Neodiprion lecontei: one gene and its partners. The protein of the gene in region 1 interacts with the protein of each later gene in a biochemical or structural test. Links are inferred from orthologs where the notes say so. Each region holds a gene or a part of one and is shown in the gene's direction. Other genes may lie near its edges.

Evidence for each region.
Region 2: the proteins of protein arginine N-methyltransferase 5 (region 1) and serine/threonine-protein kinase RIO1 are reported together in a solved structure, tested with the Homo sapiens proteins (2 studies listed by BioGRID, with this or other methods). The link is inferred for Neodiprion lecontei from reciprocal best matches to the Homo sapiens genes PRMT5 and RIOK1.
Region 3: the proteins of protein arginine N-methyltransferase 5 (region 1) and methylosome subunit pICln form a complex in vitro, tested with the Homo sapiens proteins (5 studies listed by BioGRID and IntAct, with this or other methods). The link is inferred for Neodiprion lecontei from reciprocal best matches to the Homo sapiens genes PRMT5 and CLNS1A.

Annotation. Positions count from the first base shown.
Region 1 is NC_060261.1:7,111,548-7,117,735, forward strand, and holds protein arginine N-methyltransferase 5, read left to right. Parts: upstream 1-1,703; 5' UTR 1,704-2,046; intron 2,047-2,466; 5' UTR 2,467-2,521; coding exon 2,522-2,610; intron 2,611-2,685; coding exon 2,686-2,804; intron 2,805-2,894; coding exon 2,895-3,118; intron 3,119-3,304; coding exon 3,305-3,487; intron 3,488-3,568; coding exon 3,569-3,778; intron 3,779-3,880; coding exon 3,881-4,089; intron 4,090-4,268; coding exon 4,269-4,391; intron 4,392-4,482; coding exon 4,483-4,658; intron 4,659-4,752; coding exon 4,753-4,956; intron 4,957-5,059; coding exon 5,060-5,241; intron 5,242-5,438; coding exon 5,439-5,591; 3' UTR 5,592-5,652; downstream 5,653-6,188. UniProt on the Homo sapiens protein: Arginine methyltransferase that can both catalyze the formation of omega-N monomethylarginine (MMA) and symmetrical dimethylarginine (sDMA), with a preference for the formation of MMA.
Region 2 is NC_060261.1:30,581,747-30,587,383, forward strand, and holds serine/threonine-protein kinase RIO1, read left to right. Parts: upstream 1-1,663; 5' UTR 1,664-1,820; exon of another isoform or gene 1,821-1,957; 5' UTR 1,958-2,051; coding exon 2,052-2,101; intron 2,102-2,236; coding exon 2,237-3,240; intron 3,241-3,357; coding exon 3,358-3,569; intron 3,570-3,657; coding exon 3,658-3,921; intron 3,922-4,208; coding exon 4,209-4,310; 3' UTR 4,311-5,035; downstream 5,036-5,637. Other genes in the region: putative uncharacterized protein DDB_G0282133, read right to left, coding at 5,631-5,637. UniProt on the Homo sapiens protein: Involved in the final steps of cytoplasmic maturation of the 40S ribosomal subunit. Involved in processing of 18S-E pre-rRNA to the mature 18S rRNA. Required for the recycling of NOB1 and PNO1 from the late 40S precursor.
Region 3 is NC_060264.1:26,458,905-26,463,504, reverse strand, and holds methylosome subunit pICln, read left to right. Parts: upstream 1-1,773; 5' UTR 1,774-2,026; intron 2,027-2,406; 5' UTR 2,407-2,414; coding exon 2,415-2,533; intron 2,534-2,861; coding exon 2,862-3,007; intron 3,008-3,144; coding exon 3,145-3,321; intron 3,322-3,519; coding exon 3,520-3,630; intron 3,631-3,730; coding exon 3,731-3,819; 3' UTR 3,820-4,072; downstream 4,073-4,600. Other genes in the region: adrenodoxin-like protein 1, mitochondrial, read right to left, coding at 305-408, 852-1,099, 1,216-1,267, 1,352-1,466; regulator of nonsense transcripts 2, read right to left, coding at 4,583-4,600. UniProt on the Homo sapiens protein: Involved in both the assembly of spliceosomal snRNPs and the methylation of Sm proteins.

The DNA of each region.
Region 1 (6,188 bases):
CAAAAGTCATCAGGTCAAGGACCTGGATAGCCAGAACTATGGAGCGCTTATTCCGGAAGTCGAGTTTCACCAGGTAGTGGACCTGGAGCGCAGGAACCATGGAGCGCTTGTCCTGGAAGTCCAGTTTCACCAGGTAGCGGACCTGGAGCGCAGAAACTATGGAGCGCTTGTCCTGGACGTCGAGTTTCACCAGGTAGCGGATCTGAAGCGTAGAAACTACGGAGCGCTTGTCCTGGAACTAGAGTTGCACCAGGTAGCGGACGTGGAGCGCAGGAACCACGGAGCGCTTGTCCCTACAATCGAGTTTCACCAGGTAGTGGACCTGGAGCGCAGGAACCATGGAGCACTGTTCCTGGATGTCAAAATCCACCAGGTGGAGGACCTGGATCGCCAGAACTACGGAAAATTAGTCTTGAAGGTCAAAAGTCACCAAGTCAAGGACCTAGACAGCTAGAACTACGGAGCACTTGTCCTGGAAGTCGAGTTTCACGAGGTAGCGGACCTGGAGCGCAAGATCCAGGAGGTAGAGAATCCGGTACTCGAAATCTGCAGAGCGCGATTCTCATACGTCCGCTCTACTGCGCGGTTATTTCCAGACTGAGAAATTCAGTTAGCTGATTTTCGGTTAGCAAGAGAAAAAAAAATTTGGGTTACGTCACTTTCTGAACATACGAAGATACGATATCCAAACTTTAGTTTCGAACTTTAATACTATGTATCTTGTATGATGTAGGATGTATGATGTATGATGATATGATATGATGTATAATGATTCTAGTTTTTACATTTCAGACAAGAAAGACGCACTATCTTCCCTGCCAATTCCAGACTCAAGGGGCTAGGCCCTTTGATGGTTAACCGTTGACTAAAGATGTATTCTTCAGTTAACGGGTCAGCTAATAATGCTGCTGTTCTGCGACAGTTAGATGATAAAAATTTTTGCTCGTACCTTTCAAATATGTGTTCAAATACCCTCGACATTTTAAGAAGCTTCGTTCTTTCTCTCATTATCAAAAAAAAAAAAAATCGCCGACAACCATCTTTTCAAACCTTTAAATCAGGACACTGTGTTAAATACTGTCTCACATAAGCAGCATCCATTTGACTCGATCAAAATTAGCGCATCCGTGATGTATTACAGTTACTTTGAATTTTTTTCCGTACGAACACTTTTCTAAAACCAATTCTATTTCCCTACCCAATGTAGATACCTCACTTGCGACTAGCTGAAACAGCGTTTCGATTCTATGCCTACGACAATTCAAGATCGAGAGAGCAAATGAAAAGTTGTTGGAATAATTATGAATATTAATGTTATAGAATACATGGCCGAGCAGGGGGTCGAGGAGGACGAAGGTCGGAGGTGGTTGGTGGTGTTCGAAATTGGTAGGAGGCCGTAGGAGGTAGTCGGCGCTGGTAGCAGGTGGTTGGAGGTGGTAGGAGGTGATCGGAGATGGCCGAGGAGGACGAGGACGACGAGGCGGCGGAGGAGGAGGGGGACGAGGTGGTCGAAGGTGGTTGACGATGGTTGGTAGTGCTCGGTGGTAGTTGGGGGTGGTCGGCGGTGGACGCGGTTACGCGTCTTCTCGCGGGAATGATCGAGCTGATCAAGATTTCTAAGTCGCAGTCGACAAGTAGTCTTACGTATTCACTTTGTACCGACTAAAATATAAGCTTCCATACCGACACTACTTTGCCTGTTACGAACGTCGGTTCGAGTCCCTTAGGTAGAATCGATAGAGCAAAACCCTCCTACGCTCCCAGGCTCACCCGGGCCCACTTGCCCGCCGAAAACTGGTCACAAAAATCTACTCAGAGGTATCCGTCTTTATACCGCCAATTGACCAATTAGAGTGAGAGGTCGGACTCCCGCCGTTGCTTTCTCTTTCCAATTAGGGCTTCAGCTCGGTGCGCGGACCACGCAGTCTATCTATGTTCTTTACAAGTCTATGACAGTCTTACTGGCCGGTGAGAATGTCAAAGCGTGATTTGGTATCGCAAGATTTTGTTAATACCGGCTCTTGAATCGCAGTCTTTGAACCTCAGGTACGGCTATAGCAGAGGATAGATGAATCATTAATATAGACTTTTAAATAGGATTCAGATAACTTGTTGCTATTTTATCAGACGTAAACGAATCTGCATATCCTAACCTCGATAACAATGTGGCAACTTCGTTGCGCACCTGAAATAACCCACATTGTGCTGTTATTCTATTGTTTACAACGCTTATTGATGAACAAATAATCATCAGTAAATGAAAGTATCTAACAACACATTAGGATACACGTATATAGATATTTCACTGCTGGCTTTATCAATTCAATTCTAATTCAGTGTGATACGCATTATAAAATTATCCTCACAATAAATCAACAGCCTACTTATACTTTTTACATTTATTCTGATTACAAGATGTAGTTAATAAGATCGATTACAATTCAAAAATGAAATGCAATTTTGCAGCATATACAAGTTTCTCTGATTCACGGGATACGGTTGAGTTCTTAAAATCGTGACAATGGCTGCTGAGAAACAAGTTTCCTGTGGGCTGGACTTCTGTTCAGTCCCAGATTTAAGTAATTGTTTGATGACTGCGACATCATCAAGGTTAGTATTTATTATTGCCATTTGAACATGACGTTCTACTTGAAAAAATCTCTGATTCATGGACATCATTTGCAGGTATGATTTTATCTGCATACCCTTGGTGCATCCAAAATTTAAACGTGAATTTGTTGATCCTGAATTGAAAAAACGTCCTGGGCCATTCACGAGGTCTGACATGATCCTATGCAGCTCCGGTAAGCTGAGAAGAAAATCATTTGCACTGACTTTCAAATTTGCTTACTAGAATTTTTAGCATATACCACTGAGTGAATTTAAATTCGCAGATTGGAATAACTTGGTGATTGGGAAATTGTCGCCTTACATTGATGTAGATTGCACTAATCCAATCTCCCGAAAGAATAACGAAGAGACTTTAAACCAGGAATTGGCATTGGCTACACACCTAGGTCTTCCAGCGATTACATTCAAGCTAACAAGAAATATGAATCAGAATATTAATTTTGCTCGAATTATTTACAATAAGTCTACAACTCCTTGTGCCTTCCAGGTATGTTTACACATTGATGTTTAGTTCTGTGCAAGTGTATCAATATTTTGATCTAACCGCCAATTTAAAATCATAGAATGTAGTCAATTAAATCTAATTGTGAAAAACTAAAACAAATACCCTTACAGATCAGTTTGATTGAACTTTATTTTTCATCATTATGTTTAATAACCTTGGCATTCGTAGGTGTGGGTTCAAGTTCCAATGGAAAACCCTGCTAAGCAAGCCAACACGTACAGATCAGACAAAGGAGATGATGCAGTTGAAAGCACATGGGAGTGGTGGAATTCCCTGAGATTAGTTTGTGACTTCCATGGGAAGCTTGGTGTTGCCTTGATTGTTAGTCACGACATTCCTAGTGCAGAAGAGGTGACTTGTAACATTGATATTCCCCTCATACGTGATTTTTTCTGTTTTACCTGGTCTCTGTATTACCTAATCTAACTTCAGATAAATAGATGGTTGGGTGAACCACTGAAGTGCCTAATTCTACCTACAACCTTGTTCATTACCAATAAAAAAGGATATCCAGTATTAAGTAAGGCACATCAAATGTTGCTCAAGAAGTTTTCTCCACTGAGGGTCCAAATGATTCTATCCGGATCAAACAGACATCAGGATATTACTTTTTATCATAATTATCTTGATCATCTTGCAAAGGTACGGTGTATCCAAATTATTCATTTCACTCTTGTGCAGTGCATTGTACACTTATTTTTGCTATCTGTGGTTAAAATGTCTAAGATTATTTCATTTTCCCAGACTTATCAAAGTAATGGGCCAGTTGAAAGATTTGCCAGGGGCTATGAAGATTATTTGCAATGCCCGTTGCAACCGTTGATGGATAATCTTGAATCTCAGACATATGAAATATTTGAAAAAGATCCCTTCAAATACAATCAATATCAGACCGCTATTTACCAAGGAATTCTCGACAAGATTCCAGAAGCTGAAAAGGATACCAAAACTTTGTAAGGAACGTGTTAAACCTTACACTAGAATAAGAACTTGTTTTGAACTGTGAATGGGTAGAGGCTGCTGATGAATTTTATGATTAGTCAACCAGTTTTCCCCCAATTGAACAATCTTTTCATTGCCTACTCACTAACCAAAGTTATTAATACATCTTGTAACGTTTTACATTGTGCAGAGTTATCATGGTGGTCGGCGCAGGTAGAGGACCCTTGGTACGGGCTTCTTTGAATGCTGCTGAAAAAGCACAAAGAAAAGTCAAGGTTTATGCTGTTGAGAAAAACCCTAATGCCATTCTAACGTATGCATAATTTGTTTTGATAACCAAATTGATCAACTAAATCTGTACTTAACTCTCAACTTGCTAGTACTTACCAGATTATTGATCACAGGTTACAGGCTTTAGAAAAAGAAATATGGGGAGACAAGGTCACTGTTGTATCATCTGACATGAGAGAGTGGGTTGCTCCTGAAAAAGCAGATATTCTCGTTTCTGAGCTCCTAGGATCTTTTGGCGATAACGAGCTTTCACCTGAGTGCTTAGATGGGGTTCAAAAGTTCCTAAGTGGTATACCTTGCATCAATACTTACATTCATTCATATAGTGTTCCCATGGATTTATTTGTAGACTAATATGTCTTCTAAATATTTCTGATTGATAGATGATGGAATAAGTATACCTTGTTCATACACGTCATACATTAGTCCAGTGCAATCGTCAAAGTTGTATAATGAAGTCAGGCAATGTAAGGAAAAAGACAAGCATCCCCTGGCTCACTTTGAAACTCCTTACGTTGTTCATCTTCAAAACAAGTATGATATTGCACAACCACAGCCTCTCTTCACATTCGTTCATCCTAATAAAGGTAAGAGTTGATCAACGTTTATGGTAACTAAAAGCTGCGAAAAATTTCTGTTTTTCCTATTACAATGTAACAAAAATTTTCATTCTATTCTTTTTATCTTCAGAACCATTTATTGATAACAACAGGTATGAAGTGAAAAAGTTTGTAGCAGAACAAAATTCGGTATTGCACGGTTTTTCCGGCTACTTTGAAGCCATCTTGTACAAAGATGCGACTATTAGTATAGAACCGAACACACACAGTCCAGGCATGGTTAGCTGGTTCCCAATTTTCTTTCCTATCAAGGTAATAATTCACATGAATCTTATATTTCGTAAGGATATATCTGGTGTACAATCCAACTAAAAGAATGTTGATACAACTATGGTTACTAACAATAAGATAAGAGCTTTAGATCGTCACATTGTTGTATTATTTTTTTTCCTTGTAAGTTGTGGAAACAGATCAAGATTTCTTAATAAAATACCATATAAATTTTCCAGGAAGCCGTTCTACTCAATGCTGGTGATGTGGTTGAGGCACACTTTTGGCGAAGGTGTACATTAAAAAATGTGTGGTACGAGTGGTGTGTCAGCAAACCTGCGCCATGTTCCATCCATAATCCAAATGGCCGGTCCTATACAATTGGGCTTTGAATTACAATGAACTATGTGATATGAAAGGTTGAAACTTGAAAATTAAATAAACAAAGAACCACTTTTCGTTATTTTGTAAAAAATGATTTTTAATGTTGTTCGAAAAAAGATATTTTTTCATTTGTTGAACTGATTGTTTGGTGCAGTATTTGTAATCAACTTAGAGAATATCTCTTTTATTCGATGAGCCAGTAACTGCACATTATGGAAATGCAAGAATGCATTTTAATGCGATTAGAAACATGTATTTGTGGTTCGTAGCTTGTCGTATTAATGTGATGGATAGACGAGCTACCGCCCCTTGCAATTTATTAATAGTGATCCTGCATATACTTATGTAGGTGGTACTACGTAGAATTTTGATACATAACATGTTTGCTGTAATCACGCTGGAGAAATGTTGTAACGAACTGATAAACCATTGACCTCACGTGATCAGAACAGTCATGTACCGATACCACACGCAAAGTGCCGCGTAAATCGTAGATCTCGGATTCTATTGAAGCAAAAATGTCCGTACAAAAATTTGTCACACGTACGGCGATATTGAAAATCATTAATCGTATTAAATTTCACCCAACTTTTTCAAAACAGATG
Region 2 (5,637 bases), about 23 Mb from region 1:
GTTTTGTTTTCACAATATTTCGACTATGCACGCTATAAGTAAATAAAGTGATGCTTACTTGTACGTTTGTAAATTTTACTCGATGGTAATTTGTATCCATGGAGTCCTTAGGAATCTATTTGTCGGAATTGCAACGATCATGTTGGAAAAGGTCGATGAGCTTTCGTAGCGAGAATCGCATGAAATCGTTTCAACAGCTTCTATATGAGGATGATATTTAAATAAAAGCCGTGATCGTCTTTTAACTTGCCGTTTTGTAACATTCCGAAAATGAAAATTTCAGTTTTCTCAAGGTTGCTACGACTTGAGATCTCCAGAATCTCATCCAGTAATTATCAGATTAACGGCGGGATAAGCGTAAGTGCAACCAATTGATTTCATATCCGATAAAATCGATGCGCTTCTTCTTAACTTGGAACTTATTAGATTTTGGATCTGTTCGGGCCAGTAGCTTTAAATTTAAAATAACATTCAAATGATTTTATTTTGTTTAAGTGAAGATTCAATATTTTTCGGGATGCTTGTAACAAAAAATTATTTCGTCGCCTTCAAAAAAGACAATACAATCACTAAAAAATACTTTTGTACACCTCAGATATGTTTTATAAATACTTACGACAAGATTCTTCACTATCACTGTACACTCCGCGATTTTTATCCCCGTGAATTGACCGCCGGCTTGCGAATACTGCGCTTTCTCTCACAATCAGAACCACACAGTATCAAGACAAATTTTTCAAGACAAGACAATTTAAATTTGAAAACATTGTTGGTGAGAAAATCGATTGGGAAGCTGAAGGTTTAATTAACACATCGAGAGTGCTGTACTTTTCACATACCGTTAAGCAATTGCTAAGCAAAAGGCATGATCGATCGATTTCTTAAATATAAGTCCTTCACTTTTTCCTGACTTTTTCAGTTAAAAAATTCAAATTGCTATTTCCGAAAAAGTTACGTGCAACTTTGTGAAAGTATGAAAATCACGAAAAAACATGTTTAATGTCCCCGAGTGAGTGCTAAAAAGGTCGTAGTAAATTTTGCAAAGAACGGTAACGAAGCTGATTCTTTCTACTTTCAAATGCAACCTGCAACCTTTCTCTACGCCTCGTCGGAAACGACTGACGCCGCACTGCGCTGGGAAGCAATTCCTGATCGGTCGGAAATGCCATACGAGTTGCGGACAACGCTGTCAGACGTTCGAAAAATTGCCGAAATTTTCTGACGACTTCCAGCCGAATGAAATGTGTTAACCGAAGATATATTAAGTCATTCCTGAGGGTCCAATTAGTGGAAAGAGTCTTGCAAAAACGATTTTGGGACGAAAGTTTTCCGAGCTCTGAAAATCGCAAACAAAGGAAGGCTAAGCCCTTTGGATTGTTTGAGCCGAAATTTGGCCGATTTTGAAAAACACTTAAATGTATTCTGTGATGCATTATATGAACGTAATTTTGCGAAAAGAATTGGTTGCGCTCAGTTCGAATACGCCATCAGCTATTTCATCTCGCTTCTTCATTTTCTCCATTTTTTCCAATTTTTTCACGCTTCCAATTGATAACATAGATTTTTGAATTCTTTGAGCAAAAATGTAATTGAGATCCACTGACCTAGCCACGTGGGTTTCGACGCGCGGCATTTTGCCGTTGCGTCGGTACCCATTTTTGACGCCCGTATCAAATCCAGCCTACGACTGATAGATACACCAGAATCTCCGCGCATGCGTGCGGAAAAATACTCAGCTTGAGAGCCTGCTGTTTCATGTGACTGTTACACACTACCTGATCACTCTCCAAAGTGCAATATGATATAATATATCTTGACAGGTATGTTGACAAGTTTCGAAGAAAGTAATAACGAATAACGCGACCAGTGACGCGTTCTATTCCGTACACAGACATTCATCGATTTGATAAGAGTGGTGTGACAAACATAGCTTGCTAAAATAGGTGTAATTTTTCAGTATCAGAATCTGGCTAATGTGGGCAACAACGTGTGTCACGTGGCAAGCATTCTTGACTGAAATATTCACCTGAGCACCTATTCCAAATTCGACAATGGCATCACTGGACGAAGGCCAATTTAGCGATGCCGATGAAGAAACGATGTATGTACATACAATTCATAGGTTTCATACTACATACATTTCAGGCATTGCGCGATATTGTGTCACGAAACTGAGTCTAACCAAACCTGGCTATCTTTAAGCGCGTATGAAATAACATTTTTCATTCCTTCCCAGAGAAAAAACGAAATGTGGAAAACCAATGATCATTCACGAATTGACCGTCACAGTAGGACAATTGCAAATAGACATCGAAGACAACACAGAATATGACTCTGAAGACGATTCATACGATTGGGATGTAGATGCTAGAGGCAATTACCAGTTGAAGAACAATAGTCGTTCAAATGGAACGGCCAACAGTCAGATGGCAAGCAATAAAGTTTCCAACTACCAGCCTACTGATAAATTATTTCGACGTTACTCCAATAAAATAAATGTTGAAAAATATGAGGGACCCAGTTTGCCCAATCATGCGGCTAATTTACTTATCGAAAGTAACAAACGCACTGAAAATGAACGGATAAGAACAAAAGACAAACATGACAGAGCAACGGCTGAGCAAGTTATGGATCCTCGCACACGTATGATTTTATTCAAACTACTCAACAGAGGTATAATCGCTGAAATCAATGGTTGTATTTCAACGGGAAAAGAAGCTAATGTTTATCATGCCACCTCTAAAACTGGTATTGAATTCGCGATAAAAATCTACAAAACATCAATACTAGTGTTTAAGGATAGAGACAAGTATGTAAGCGGTGGATTTCGTTTCCGTCACGGTTACTGTCGTCACAATCCACGTAAAATGGTTCGCACTTGGGCAGAGAAAGAAATGCGGAATTTATTGAGGCTCAGTCAGGCAGGAGTATGTGCTCCGAAACCAATTTTGTTGCGCAGCCATGTTCTCCTGATGGACTTCATAGGTAACGATGGATGGCCAGCACCAAAGTTGAAAGACGTTGAAATAAATTCTTCAAAGGCCCGCTCGCTTTACAGAGAATGTGTTGTGATGATGTGGAGAATATACAATAAATGTAAATTGGTTCATGCTGATTTAAGCGAATTTAATTTACTCTATCACAAAGGAGAGATTGTTGTCATAGATGTATCTCAATCAGTTGAACATGATCATCCTCATGCGTATGAATTTCTCCGAAAAGACTGCACTAACATCACAGGTAATCATCTTCAGCATTTCAGTGTCTTTGACCTTCATAAGTAAAATTAATATTTTGAATGTGCGAGTAAATTTTCTCGTTTTCTCAAATGATTGTATATGCAAACTGATTCTTCAGAATTCTTCAAGAAACATGGAGTTGCAGTTATGACGATGAAGGAATTATTTGACTTCATCACAGATCCTAATATAGTGGAAGATACGATGGATGAGTACTTGGATGTGTTAGCAGAACAAGTTATGCTAAGAGAATCAGAGGAAATGGATCCCAACAGTCAAATGGAAGAACAAGTGTTTAAACAAACATATATACCTCAGAGGCTCAATGAGGTATAAATAACCATTAGTGATTGAAATATTCCTAATATATCCAATGACCAGAATATTTAAGCCAATACTGTTGCTCTCAATCTTGCAGGTTATTAACATTGACAAAGATATATCTGAGGCTAATACCGGAGAGCAAAATTTGTTAAGGAAAACCGTGTATGGACTGAGCATTGATTTACCCAAAGCAACAACTGTCACCTCAAAAATTATTTCAACCAAAAGTCACGACGACAGCCATACCGAAGAAAGCGGAGAGGATGTATCTGAATCTGATTCAGAGTCACAAAATAACGATGAATCGAAATTTGTCAATTCAGCTCGACCACGAGACGAAAGTCCTGACAGCAAGAAGGTGAATGCTTTTGATTCGTAGGCGATTTCTTCATCTATGATTAATTTGTCCATTGCTAATGCACAAATAATAGTGTATCGGAATATCGTATATGACCAGTCATGAAATATATGAGAAAATTGAAAATCGACGTTGCACCTTACGCACGTACAGCTCATCTTTACAATATCTGGATACATTTTTTCACATTCTCACCGTTACATGATACTCGTGCTTCAGGTTATAAATAAAAAATAACGAAACTACCTAGATGATTTCTAATTTAATCATGTTCACCAATGTTCCAGGCACGAAAAAAAGCTATCAAAGAACAACAAGCAGAAAATCGTAAGAAGAAAACCAAGAAGCACATAAAAAAAAGAAAAGAAAAGATGGTGAGAAAGAAATAGACACTAAATAGATCCTTGTACAATGTTTGATTCTAGTAATTTAGGATTGGCTCAGAATCTCGCGTTGTATGAATACATTATGTGAAATGATTTAGGTTACAACGAGCATTTTAACCTTATTTATGTAATGCCTTTCGGACTTAACAACTACATACACGGAACCGAAGGTAAACGATGAACTGAAAAAACCAGTCTTTATTGAGTAATTTATAAAACAACAATACTTTTGAAGCATCCCATTTCAAAAAAATGTACTATGTTACTTTTTTTTAAATACTTATAATAAATTTTTGTTTAATATTAAAATTTTTCGCTAATATTTACATTTTAGTGCTGTCACATACTGAGCACATAGATATAGTCATACAGCTAACATAGTTTGAAATAATGGTGTCCAGAACTTTCCCAAGTATTGATTATTACTATAATACCCACCTATTAAATGAATGAAAACTGGAAGATAATTGTAATTCTGTGAAAGTAGAAAATACGGCAAGATCCTTCATGTTATTAAAAAACTATAGTTATAACTAGAAACAACAGAAAATAGAGAAAACGCGATTCCTTTTTTACAATCATAGGGTCTGTTGTAATAATCAGATACTCAAGTTCAATATTGGATACATGGGAACATAATATAATTTTCTCAGCACATCAGACTGTTCAATAACCAGAATATACCTGTATGTCTCGCAAACCGGTACGTTGATAATTAGATAAATACATCTTGGAAAAAAAAACCGTCATAATATTTTGAACACAAAGGTACACATTTGAAAATTCATACACTAAGATGTGAATATGTACAACATAGGCCAGGCAGTAAATTTGATGATATTGAATGAATAACTCGAGATATTTATAGAATGACTACTAAGTTTGTTCAAATGCAATTTTCCTGGAAATAATCTATTTTAAGTAGTTGAAGTAGTAATCTAGTTCAAGTAGTAGTAGTATTTATACATGCTGTATACATACACACACACACACATATATATATATATATATATATATATATATATATGTACACACACGCACACATGTGTGTGTGTTGGTTTCAACTACTTGAAATAGTTTACCATTTCAAAAGTTATAATATTATTCTATTATATGAACAAAGATGGAGAGAAAAATTTATTTCTCACAGCACATGTAATGATGAATGGAACAAATTTGGACACTCAGTGGATATCAAATAGAATTGTGTAATAGTGATATCGAAGCAAGTTTTCATCTGCTGACTGAACATTGCAGAACAAACGCCACAGAACAGTAGTTAAAAATCAGATATGGGAAACTTTTTCACTGTTTTACTGACTATTATAAA
Region 3 (4,600 bases), on another chromosome or scaffold:
CAATCAAAACGTAAAACTTGCAATGTCAAAAGGACAAAAAGTAGAACTGTGAAACTATGATGTGACTTTGTAAAAGTATGTTTCTTTTTTTTCCGTCAATGTGATGCTTTGTGCATCTGTAAAGTTTACTGTGCTCTGTAGAAACACTAAATCGTCGTCAGTATGAGAATGATTGCATCAATTATCAAAAAAGGTAAGGTTTTTATTATACATTATATGTACAATATATTATATATACAATACATTATGATGTGGCTACAAGCGGGATTCTGAACATGTAGGAGATTCAATTCTTCCCTTTTTTTTAATGGGGTGTTGGAGTGTGACCATCTACATAAAAATTTCTTGTAGCTTTTGGAAGTTCAAGTTCTAATCCATTTAATTCTTTAGTCAGAATTATTTGACATCCTGAAAGAATGAAAAAGTAGTAAAGTATCTATTTAGCTCATCTATTGGAAGAGTCTGACAGTGGCTACAAACAAATCCTAGAAATATCCTAGAATCAAAAATTAATCCAAGAAATGGGGTATATATAACATGGAAGTTAATTATTATATTAGGAACATTTCTTTTTTATCTCAGCAAACGTAACTCTTTTTAACTGAAACTTTGTACAGTGGTGAAAATCGGATGTAATCCAATATCAATTTCCAATATTCATGTTTAAGAAGGGAGTGAAGGAAGCCAACTGTTATTAAAAGTAACCAGGGCAATCCGGCATGACTTCCGCGAATTTCATTTTGATCGCAAGATTCTCTTTAAATAAAGTACCTCAATTTGAAGAGTGTTACTGTAAAGGAATTTTTCTGTCCACTCTGGATATCTTAATTTCGTTTACTGCCAAAGCCTACCCAATCTGGAATTTTCTTTCAGAAATGGAGCCAGGTCTAATAAATCTTCTTCCTTGTCTTCTGCTGTGGGTAATTTTTCCCGATGATCAGAATTTACGTAGACATGACAAGTCGTACAGGCCAAGGAAGCTTCACATGCACCTTCCATTTCAATTCCGTGCCTGTGCGCCAAGTACAATACATTGTCACCAACTTTTCCTCTGACTGGTATCCTTTCTCCATGTTTAGTAATGTACACCACGTTGACGCTGCGAAATAAGAGAGGCAGAATTTCTATCCGGCTTTTCAAAACCGTAAGAACAGGACTTGATCGAAAATTTAAGAAGTTGACTGTAAATCGGGCAACTTGAATGTAATAACCTACACTTGGTCCTCCGATGTAGGATCCTGATATTCGTATTCTCCGTGACCTAGTCCTTTAAAGGAGAAAATGGTATAGACACATTATGAAGTTCCGTTGAGAGGTTAGAATGGTCGTGAAATCGTGATCTGCGACTTACGCTCAGTTGTGTGCATGTCAAGCTGGGAAAACATTTTTGGACGATAATAGCTTGACGAAAACAATAATCTCTTTACTAAGAACCTCGACAAAAGGTTTGGCAAAGACATTGTCATTTCGGTCAGGTAGCTTTTGCAAGAGCAGACAGAATACTTAGCGGCGACTTGTCAATTCACACGAGGTTGCGACAGTGTGTGTATAATGTATGCATCATGTTACATACGTGTGCAGGAGTTTCAAGTTGTGTTTACAAAATGAATACGAGGTCTGGGTACCAGGGTGCAGCACCTACTCCGCTGAGCACGTCGAGTTCTCGTTTTGTGCCGTGATTGGTTGAGTGAGCGGGCTCAGCCAATCACGACGCAGACCGAGATATATACATAAGCTCCACGGGTATGCAGCGTAGCTGGAGGGTTGAGAAAACCCGGCGACGCAGTGTCAAAATCTCTATTGCGTTTTTGCGGGAGGGTAAAAAGTAGAGAGAAAGGCGGGACGGAGTCAAATCTTCTCCCTCGAGGGGTGCACCGGGTGTATGTACCAGGCCGAAAAACTGCAGTGAACGATCCGCGCTTCGAGCGCTTGCGATACTTTCCGTGATTCTTATTCTTCTCGATTAACGGCAAGAGATACTTGCGGAGGAAAGTACCGTACATACGTCAAGGGCAGGTAAAACGAGGTAAGATCGATCAGTTCGGTAATTATTACATTATTATCACGGACAGACTTGCATTCGTTGCGCGACGTGTTTGAATCTTGGACCGAGAAACGACAGGGTACCAAAGTACTGCATTCATTCGAGCGATACATATTTTCAAAAGAAAAATGTGGATTTAAGAGTTTTTGACTCAGAACCATTTTCCCGGCTGCCCACGACGAAAAGCAAATGCTCTTGATTCCGTAATTGCTGTTCAGTCATACAGCTACGAATATCAATCAAGTCGCCCAAAGTTGTAGGTTTCCCTTCGACTCCTGAACTCTAACCTATAATAATTAACTTCTTCTAATTTACAATAATGATAACGTAGAATAGGTTTAATTTGTGGTGTTATTTTGCAGATTGTAAAATGGTCGTGCTGATCAATTTTCTACTGCCGCAAGAAGGTGTTAGACACGAAGAGCCTGACACTACGTTGTACATAAATGACAGAGAAGTTGGAAAGGGTACACTGTATGTGACAGAAAGGTAATATGCCGTTTTTATCGTACTGTTGACCTAGATTGGCAGTGATCTACACTAAATTTTATTCGTGTAATAATTTTAAGATTATATTATATTTTGGTGTAATACTGATTATAGAATTAGTATAGTCAGCGTAGAATCTCTACAGTACAAACTTTGAATTAATTTTTTGCAAATTAAAGTAGATGACACGATAAAAATAAGAGTATCGGTAGTGAAGAACACAACTCTCCCTTTATTTGATGTTTCAAACTAGTGGCTCGCAAGAGCAACGGTTAGAACCCATATGCAACATGGATTGGCTGTGTTATAAGTAATCTTACTTTCTCAGCCTACTATCATGGGTTAGTGGGACGACTGGTCAAGGATTTTCATTGGAATATCCTAATATATCGCTGCATGCTATATCAAGGGACCAACAACTACATCCTCACCAATACCTTTATGTCATGGTAGATGCAAAATTAGACCCTGCAGGTAAATGAAAAACGAGGATACTTTTTTCCCTTATACATGTGCTATACTTGCGGTTGATGATTGAGGATTTTTTTGTATTTCTTAACTCAAATTTTGGACAAATATCTCTGTATGTCTGTGTCATGCTATATCAACAGATATGCAAGAATTGCTGCCTATAGATGCCCGATCTGAAGGCAACGATGAAGAGGACGACGACGATGAATCGGAAACTCCAATGACTGAAATGAGATTCGTTCCAGAAAATTCAAATAGCTTGGATGCCATGTTTCAAGCGATGAGCCAGTGCCAAGCACTCCACCCTGATCCTCAAGGTATCTAAATGGTCATGCCTCAAATTCATGACAATCCTTTTGACTTTACTTCAATTACTATTGTATTCTACCTTGGAGGTATAATGCACCTTTTTTTTTCACGCAAATTGACCAAATTTATTTATTTCTAACTCTGCTACAGAACCCTATAGATTTCAATTCCAAGTTATAAGTTACAGAAACAATTATAATGAATAGAAATGAACAAAAACTTCACAGCTGAAGAGGATATCTATGAGGATGCTGAGGACGATGTTTTCAAATGTTGGGAAGCTGAAACAGACGCTATGCCATACATATTGGCATCGGGTATGATTTCTCTCTGTTTTTGTTGAATGGTTAGATTGAATACAATTTGCTATCTAGATGCTGGCCCTGTAACCATTCAATTGGCATGGTAATTTTCCAGATGAAGCATATAATCAGAACGGTGCAGATACAGACGAAGCCATGGATATTGAAGCAGGCCAGTTTGAAGATGCTGAAGAAGACCCTTAGGTAGTTGGTGGTATTAAATTCTACTCTCTGCTGTCAACTAAAACGTGCGTCAATCGTCACTATATCTCTTTGTTCGTGCAGTTTATTTTCATGCGCGTTGTAGACATAATGCTATAAGCTTACCGAATCACAATACTCTGAAGTAAATTTCTGTCAGCTAAGACACAAAGCGCTCGAATTTATATTCATATTCATTTTGTACATGATAACTATTCCTATGGTAAAAAATATAGGTATATAAATATAGATATAATATTGCATTTGATTTTTGTCATTGCGCATTAACGCGATTAATGGGAATGAGATTTTAGACGGAGAAGTATACCTTGCGTAAAAATGACAATCTAAGATTATTGTAACTATCTATCGTGTGTCGGAAATGGTTGATGGAATATGTGATGTTAGGCATGCGAATTATTGTACGTAATTTTAACGTTGGAACGTTTATTTCTCAATTAACGGCGCATGCCGAGTTTACACGTATACCTATTGGTAATGGATGTGTAAAGCTGGGGTCGAAAGGTTTCAATCGAACGATCCCACTTGGAAACACATCCCCGTTTGAATTTGAGATCTGTAGAACAGCGTACATTATTTTGTATACTTAAACATTTGATGTACTCGCGTAACGTGTGTGTGTGTGTAACCACTTATGCATATAGCATAAAAATCATCACAGGTAGTATGGCTACCACAGGCATAAGAAACCGATATCAAGTGTTATCATTACAATATACCTTGCCGAGGTTACACTATTTTCTGCTCATCGAATTTTTTTGGG